Canis lupus familiaris: one gene and its partner. The protein of the gene in region 1 binds, or shares a complex with, the protein of each later gene. Links are inferred from orthologs where the notes say so. Each region holds a gene or a part of one and is shown on either strand. Other genes may lie near its edges.

Region 1 (4,333 bases):
AGAGGGGAAAAAAGACCTTTTTTTCTTTATGGGATGAATGCCTGAGAAGGAAGCAGGGTCCTGGAAAGATATTTACAGAATTGGGTAGGCTACCTAAGAAGTCTGGGGAAAGGCTCTAAGGGAGCAGAGAGCATCAATGCTAGGGAATAAATTGATACAAAACTGGCTCCTATTTCTCAGGACAGGGTAATTTTAACTTTTGGGTTAGTATTTTTCATTTGCTGCCTGCCCCTTCTCCCCATTACACTTCATCAGTTTTTTTTTTTTTTTTAACCAATTTCTGACTTTACCGGGTTGTAAATATTCCAGCAAAGTTACATTTCCTGAAGGTGTCACATGAACATCAAGTGAGTTTATTAGGAAATCCTCCAGAATGAAACTAATTTCAAAAAGGTACACATCAAAAAAAAAAAAAAAAAGCCACACATCAGTTATCTTTTGGCTTTTTTTTCTTTTGGCTTATTTCCAAGTTTTGAATAAAAATTTATTATTTCATCTAATCTGCACAACAGCCCAATGCAAGTACCTTATTTTGGTAGTACAATTATTCCCATTTCTCAAATGCAAAAACCGAAGCACAGGTTAAGTAACTTGACCAACCAGCACTAAGTAATTAAATAACAGCGTTGAGCACTGGCTTTGCTGCCACCTCCGGTAGTAAGAGAAAGGACAGCCGCAGGAAATATGACACCCTCCAATACCCTGCAGGCGGTGGGCCACGCCAGTTATCTGTTTCGTAGCATTCATTCATTACTCCTATCTCTTCATGCTGCCTTTTAAGTCTAAATCCTCGTCTAAGGGGGTTCACAGGTGTGGTGGTTGGGGATTTAAGCTGGGCTCCACGCCCGTAACTGGTTGCGCGCTGTGCCGTCTTGAGCAGGTCATGGCGCTTCACCCGACTTCTGTTTCTTTTAAAGATTTTATTTATTTATTGATGAGAGACACAAAGAGAGGCAGAGACAGAGGCAGAAGCAGGTTCCACGCGGGGAGCCCGACGTGGGACTCGATCCCAGGTCTCCAGGATCACGCCCTGGGCCGAAGGCGGCACCAAACCGCTGAGCCACCCAGGGAAAGGACAGATTTTTGTGTTCCATTTTAGCAACCGCTCCTCTTCCTACGTAAGCCTCATTCTCCGCCTCCCCCCTTTCCCGCCCGCCCGCCCGCCCGCCGTTGTCATGGAAATCCGGGACGCCCCTGCCGGCCGACTCCCCTCCCGCGGGACCCCGGGCGGGGCACGTGACGGCGCACGCGCGTTCTCGCGGGCGGGGGCGCCGCGGTGCCTGCCGGGACGGAGCTCCTCGTAGCCTGATCAGGAAGTGGCGGGCGGAGTTCCCGGCCGAGTCGCGCCGCCTCAGCCGCCGCCGCCGCCGCCAGTGCCGAGACCCCGACCTGGCGGGGCTGCGCTGGGCGTGCGTGCGGGCAGGCGGGGGCGCTGCTGACGAGGAGCAGGGAGCGGCGGCCACGCGGGCGTGGGCGGCTGGTGGAGGTGGAGGCGCTGGGAGGCGGCGGCCGGTCGCGTGGGGCGGCCCTCCTCGCTCAGGTAGGGGCCGCGGCCGCCGGGTGTGGGGAGCGGAGCCCCGGCCTGTGGTTCCTCGGGAGCGCCTCCTCCTGCGGGGCGAGCCTGTCTTCCGTCGGTCTCTCGGGGACGCGGGGTCTGCGGTTCTCTGCGCGAAACGCCAAACAGTACCAACTTCTGGGGCGCATTGTCTTTTAGGCCGGAGGTCCACTGAGCAAACTTTTGGGTTGGAAAGGGGGAAATTCGCCGTCAGGATGCTGACTGCCTCTCTTCCTGGCCCCCGACCTCACAGGAGCCGTAACTGAGCGGGACGTGTGTGGAGTTGAGGGAACCACGGGGTCCAGCTAAAGGCGGTGATTTAGATGCACCTCCGAGGGCTCTTTTTTTTTTTTATTATTTTTTTTTAAGCCGCGTTTTGGAGACTCGGTTTGTACTGATTCCCGAACTTTAGTTATTATAGTCGATGTCTGCAAAGTCTTAAGACCTGCTCCAAATCCAAACACTGGGGTGTACCTTTTCGTCCATCTCCCCGGTCCTGAGATTTAGGAGGTAAGCGGTGTCGTTTCCTACCTTGCCGGCTGTTCCTGGCAATGTTCTTGGGCTTATGCAGAGAAGGAAGCAAAGGAGAAGTAGAAAGGTTGAAAAATAAAAGGCGAATGGTAGAGGGGGAAGAACGTGTGCTCTGGAGCTAGATTTTGATTTAATTTTTGGCTGCTCAGTGACCATGGAAGAACACGTGAACTCCCTGAGTTGTGATGATTTTTTTTTTTTTTTTTTTTTAAGTGGGAAATGGGCATAGGTCTCCTGCGTAGGTCAGTATATGTGAAACTGCAGATTTCTGAGTAGTCTGAAAAAAGAGGTGGAAAAGTTAAGCGGAGCATGCGATGGTGGGAGAGAGAGAGAGAGAGGGAGACCTTCAGCCTTCTGCTCCTGGGTGCCATTGAACGTTACCGGTATCGCACAGGTCGCCTTTGTTTTATTAGAGGCCTTGACCAGCATTTCAGGTCTGGAGTAAGGAAGCTTTTGATTGAGGAGGCCGAGTATTCGTGTCCTGACCTAGGTACTTAACAGCTGTGTGACCCTAAGGGTCCCTCCTCACTTCAGATTTCACGTATTAAAATAAGGAATAAAACTAATACCTATCATTTCAGAGAGTTGTGAGGCTCAAATGCTGTAAGCATTTAGGTTTTTGTAAATTGTAAGGCTTTTGTTTAAGCCTGTGTTAAAATCATGGTTAAAAGCCTGGTTTGATTACCTGTCTTAACACGATGACTTAAACAGCTACAGATGTTTCCTGTTTTAGGTGTGTTGCCCCCATTTAATCACTTGTGATTTCTACCCCCCCACACACTTACCCTCCCCCCACGTCTGCTATCTTTCCAATACCCTAGCATAATCCTCCTGTTATTTTTTCTTTTCAGATCCAACTCAGAATAGTAGCAGTGAGGTAACATTTGTATATAGCTTTATTACTCAGAAAATTGCTTTTCACAAATATTGTCTCATTTTAAAGTTGGGCTAGATGGAGATAGCATTGACAGTATCTTCATTTTGTTTATAATAAAATTGGATTTAGTGAGGTCTATGGATTGCCTAGGTCATGTTGCAGTTACAGATTAGTACTGAGGATTCCAGAAGTCAGGTCTTTGATAACAGTGCCAGTGGCTCTTACTCATTCAAGTTTACTCTGATTATTTTTTTTTTATCAGTGCTTATATTTTTGACTTTTAGCACTCTGAGTCATATTTTATTCATTTTTTAAAAGATTTTATTCATTTATTAATGAGAGACAGAGGGGGTGTGGGCAGAGACACAGGCAGAGGGAGAAGCAGGCTCCATGCAGGGAGCCCATGGGGGACTCGATCCCTGGTCTCCAGGATCACGCCCTGGGCTTGAAGGCTTCGCTAAACTGCTGAGCCACCCGGGCCGCCCTTATTCATTTCTTTTTTTTTTTTTTTTTTAAATTTTTTTTAGATTTTTATTTATTTATGATAGTCACACAGAGAGAGAGAGAGAGAGAGGCAGAGACACAGGCAGAGGGAGAAGCAGGCTCCATGCACCGGGAGCCCGACGTGGGATTCGATCCCGGGTGTCCAGGATCGCGCCCCGGGCCAAAGGCAGGCGCTAAACCGCTGCGCCACCCAGGGTTCCCTATTCATTTCTTTTTAAGCAAGATGCTCAGTTCTTTCAGATTTTTCAAATGTAAGCTGCTTGAAGGCAAGGGTTTATCTTCTCGAATTCTTCAAAACCTGGAGTACATGAACACAAGACAACTATACAAAGCTTAGAGTCACAAACACAAGACATTTAATAAAGATTTGTGAAACCTGTAACAAGGCTAAAGCCACTTAAAGATGTTTTTGTGTTCGTTATTCATTTAACAAATATTGAGCTATTCTCTGCATGAAGGCTTTCAAAGTTCAGATAGGGGCCCCCCGGGTGGCTCAGTTGGTTAAGTGTCTGACTTGAGCTCAGCTCTGGTCTTGATCTCAGGGTGGGTGAGTTCAAACCCCATGTTGGGCTCCACACAGTGCAGGGAACCTACTTAGAAGCAAAACAAAACAAGAGCAAAGATAGGATCTTTTTCCTCCCAGACCTTCCTTCCCTGCTTGTGAAGAATGCAAAAATCATTTACATGGTCAGCTTGTTGTGCTTCCTAGACTTTCCACATATTCTGGGAGAGTTCAAACAAGAGGGGAACTTTTTTCTTTTTTGGAGTGTATTTTACACACAATTTTACATTAGTTTCAAGTATACAAAATAGTGATTTTACAACTCTATACCTTATGCTATGCTTATCAGAAGTATAGCTACCAT
Region 2 (4,258 bases), on another chromosome or scaffold:
ACCAGTTAGGCTCAGGCTCGGGGCAGCCATCACCATGCACTTCCCATCTCATGAGGCACAGGTCCCGATCTTCCAAGCAGACAGTCATAAGAGTTTCTTTCATCTGTGACTCGAGCATTAAGTCCCACATCCACCCCCTGCCTCCACACACCCCTTTCTAGGCAACAACCCTGGACACACGATCAGGCACTCACCCAAGTAATCGTCCATCAGAGAGCCAATAGCAAACTGCAGGAGGGAAGGCAGAAAGGAAACAGAGCCTAAGCAAGCATAGAACTAACTTCTAGCCCAGCCCCAGGCCTTCTGCTCACCCATCCCCTCTTCCTGGCAGAAGAAAACAAAACCCCCAGGAACCCTGCATGGTAAGAAAATCAACAGCTGCCAGCTCTGCCTGGTACAGGTAAGAAGGTAGGCAAGAGACTCACAATGTCATTCTTGTCCACACGGGTCCCCACAATCTTCAAGCGGATCTCATCATCCTGCTGAATCACAATGTCCTGAGGAAGAGTAAACAGGATACTCAGATACCTACAAGCCAAAATTTCTTGGAGGGCTCATTCTTCGTCCTTCTCATGGACTTCTTCCCCACTCACCTCATCCATTGTCTTATAACATGGTGGGTTGGAGTTGGGGTCAAACTCCATCTCTGATGGGATGGACTGAAAGGAAAGCAAGACAGAGCTTTACAGGAGTGCTTCCAGAGAGAGTCATGACTGGCTTCTCTCCTTAGCACCCCCAGCACGCCCAGACTTACATGTCGAGAAATGAAGCAGGACATTGGTCCAATTTCTGTGAAAAGTCCAACCTAAGAGGACAATGGGGGACTTTGTTTTTCTTTTTAAATTTTTATTTATTTGAGAGAGAGAGAGAGCAAACGTGTATAGACAGTGAAAGGGAGAAGTAGATTCCTGCTGAGCAGGGAGCTGGCTGCGGGGCTCCATCCCAGGATCATGACCTGAGCCGAAGGCGGCTGCTTAACCGACTGAGCCACCCAGGCAGGCACCTCGACTTTGCTTTTTCTTTTATCCTCAAATTCACCTAAGCTTCCCAACTTTATCTAATTCCTAATAATATTCTTCATATTTTGAATCCACTCTGAATTGTATCATTTGCTTTCATGTCTCTTCTGCTGAGATTTCATTTCAAGTTACGCAAATACAGTGCACTAAAGAGCCAAGGCCTGGCACTTGTCGGTCCACAATCTGACCACCTGTTGATCACATGACCTTGGCCATTAGACAACTTCTAACTTCTCCAGGCGTAAGCTTCTATAAAAATGGATAAAAGCATGACCTTAGTCACCGTTAGGTTTTGGACCTTACCCAACCCATAATAAGTATTCAATGAATGGAGACTACTATTGCTGACAACTCATACTGACTTACAGGACCCCAAGGGAGGTTTCTGCACCATTTGACAGGTGTAGAAACTGAAGCAAAAGTGACTTACCCAAGGACACAGAGTTAGCAAGAGCAGTTGGGACCCATCCCCCATCTTCTGAGCAGCCACCCAACTGCCTCCACTATGTATGGACTCACCTTGTTGACTTGAGTGACAACAGCATCCACGACCTCCCCTTTAAAGGGCCGGAAAACAATGGCCTTGTACTTAACTGGATAAAGGACAAACCCTCGGCCTGGCTGGATCACACCAGCACCAATATTGTCAATGGTGGTGACAGCAATTACAAAGCCATACCTGTAAGGAGGATGAAAAAAAGAAAGGCATCGTGTGTGCAAGAGCCTCTAAAATCATCTACAACAAAAAAAAAACAAAAAAATAAAAAATAAAAAAAAATAAAATCATCTACAACAAATCAGTGATGATGGGGGTCAGGGGACGGCACAAAGGGAAATAGATGGCACCCCTGCCCACAGAACTTCATGTTGGGAGAAGAATACAGATCAGTATCTATAACTTTTTTTTTAATTTTTATTTATTTATGATAGTCACACACACAGAGAGAGAGAGAGAGAGGCAGAGACACAGGCAGAGGGAGAAGCAGGCTCCATGCACCGGGAGCCCGACGTGGGATTCGATCCCGGGTCTCCAGGACCGCGCCCTGGGCCAAAGGCAGGCGCCAAACTGCTGCGCCACCCAGGGATCCCCGATCAGTATCTATAATGCCAAACACTGCTCTCATGTTTCACAATAAATGTCCAAGGAGACTGCAGTCCTTAAGCCAAGAGACTTCAATCTTGAGGATGCCTCAGAATCACCTAAGAGGAACTTCTTAAAACACAGATTCCCAGAGATCCCTGGGTGGCTCAGCGGTTTAGCGCCTGCCTTCGGCTCAGGGTGTGATCTCGGAATCCCGGGATCGAGTCTTACATCAGGCTCCCTGCATGGAGCCTGCTTCTCCCTCTGCCTGTGTCTCTGTCTCTGCCTCTCTCTCTATCATGAATAAATAAATAAAATCTTAAAAAAAAAAAAAAAAAGTCTGCGGAGTAAACGAATGACCAGTCTCTGCTGAAGTAAGTCTCGCGATCCAGAGGGCACCTCGGGAACCCAGGCCGGAAGCAAGTGACTGCCTCGGGTGCCTGAGAGGGTGAGAGGGTTCCCCGGGGCAGGGGGCAGGTGGCAGGTGCTTGCAGGATGAGTAGGAGTTGGGTAGAGGCTGCAGATCAGGCGGCGCGAAGCACTCGGGACTCACTTGCCGGTGCAGGTCCCCTCCACCTCGGTGAAGAGCTTCTGCTTGACCGTGTTGAGCAGGTTGGGGCCGAAATAGCGCGGGTGCAGCAGGATCTCGTGCTCCAGGGAGATCTGCGGGGAAAGCGGCATGGAGACCAAGCAAGGACGAGGAACAGCATCTCCTCGTCCCGGAGCCCCGCTTCGCTCCTCCTCTTAACCCTGCCCTCGCGGCCACCCCGTGCTCCGCGTACGTGATAGAACATCCTCCCAGCCGGGACCGGACAGCAGCCAAACCCAAACTGCCTCGGTGGTAGCCGCGGTTCTCACGCAACCGGAAACACGCACCGCCCCCGGAACCCTGCTTCCGGGCCTGTCCCCGCCAAGTGGGCGGGACTCCGCTCCCTTCGCGGACCCAATTGGTCATCGCTGTCGTGGGCGGGAAATCGGTGAGGCCCCGCCCTTCCGGCCCAGGTCCTCTGCGGCGCAAATGCTGGCTCTTCTAAATGAACAGTTTCCTGGCCTAGGAGGGATGCGCGATATACTGTTAAACGGAATTAATTAGCTAATAAAAGACAACGTGAATACAGTGCTTTAGCAGAACGCATTCGTGTGGCAAATATTTGAAGGCTGCCTTCACATAGTAAGCATCGTAAGGAGCTGTCTTTATCTCATTTCATGTACATAGCAACACCACTAGGCAAGCTTTACAAATGAGGGACCAGGCTCAGAGAGTTGAGGTCACTTGAGGGTCACGATTCAAATGTGCAGTGTCTGACCTCCAAGACCCTTGCGTATTTGGACATTCCAGATTTTCATGCAGTCATTTGTTCAATAAAATGGAGCACCCCACTCCTTGCTGCAGGTAGTTAGGAGATGAAGCAGCCAAAATCAGAGCCCAGGAGTCAGTCCTCCCTCCGGTGTGAGAAACCAAGTCACTGCACTCCTCTTTCCCGTTTCCCCCCAACCCGCTGACACACACGCATGGGGGGCTTAGAGAATTGATTGGTTTGTTCCCTCAACTCTGCCCACTTTTTTGTAGACAGTCGCTTTGCTAAACTCCCCTCAATTAACCGGAGTGATAATGCAATCTATTCCCTGTTGAGACTGACTGATAAAAGGGCCATGCAGAAAGAGGCAGAAACCATGAGACAGACCCATGAGTAAGGCTCAGCCAGGGCAGCTGGTTCTAGAGCCGGACAATCCTTTTTTCTTTTTTTTTTTAAGAGCCGGACAATCCTTAAGGCTTTGAGCAAACTCCCAGTTGCCTGAGTAAGGTTTTTATGGTGGTTTTTTTTTTTTTTTTATGTTGTAAATAAAAGATCCTGACCCACCCTACAGCAAGAACAGACACTTCACGTCTGCTTCCTCAGAACTGTCACATACCAGTTCGTATGGACACTGTCCATTTCCTGGAATAGTTGATCCCACCAGTCTGCCACTAAAACTCCATGGGGATCCCTTTTGAAGGATCAGGCAAGGAGATCCCTGGGTGGCTCAGCGGTTTGGCCCCTGCTGGGGGCGCCCAGGGCGAGTTCCTGGAGTCCCAGGATGGAGTCCCACATCGGGCTTCCTGCGTGGAGCCTGCTTCTCTCTCTCTGCCCCTCTCTCTCTCTGTGTCTTTCATGAA

The links.
Region 2: GTF2E2 (region 1) and POLR2G share a complex: the UniProt entries of both Homo sapiens proteins name them as parts of the TBP-based Pol II pre-initiation complex. The link is inferred for Canis lupus familiaris from reciprocal best matches to the Homo sapiens genes GTF2E2 and POLR2G.

The regions. Positions count from the first base shown.
Region 1 is NC_049237.1:34,514,949-34,519,281, forward strand, and holds the start of GTF2E2 (transcription initiation factor IIE subunit beta), read left to right. Parts: upstream 1-1,359; 5' UTR 1,360-1,540; intron 1,541-2,043; exon of another isoform or gene 2,044-2,065; intron 2,066-4,333. UniProt on the Homo sapiens protein: Recruits TFIIH to the initiation complex and stimulates the RNA polymerase II C-terminal domain kinase and DNA-dependent ATPase activities of TFIIH. Both TFIIH and TFIIE are required for promoter clearance by RNA polymerase.
Region 2 is NC_049239.1:54,436,275-54,440,532, forward strand, and holds the start of POLR2G (DNA-directed RNA polymerase II subunit RPB7), read right to left. Parts: upstream 3,097-4,258; 5' UTR 2,895-3,096; coding exon 2,883-2,894; intron 2,764-2,882; coding exon 2,654-2,763; intron 1,699-2,653; coding exon 1,539-1,698; intron 806-1,538; coding exon 755-805; intron 660-754; coding exon 594-659; intron 498-593; coding exon 426-497; intron 229-425; coding exon 195-228; intron 1-194. UniProt on the Homo sapiens protein: Core component of RNA polymerase II (Pol II), a DNA-dependent RNA polymerase which synthesizes mRNA precursors and many functional non-coding RNAs using the four ribonucleoside triphosphates as substrates.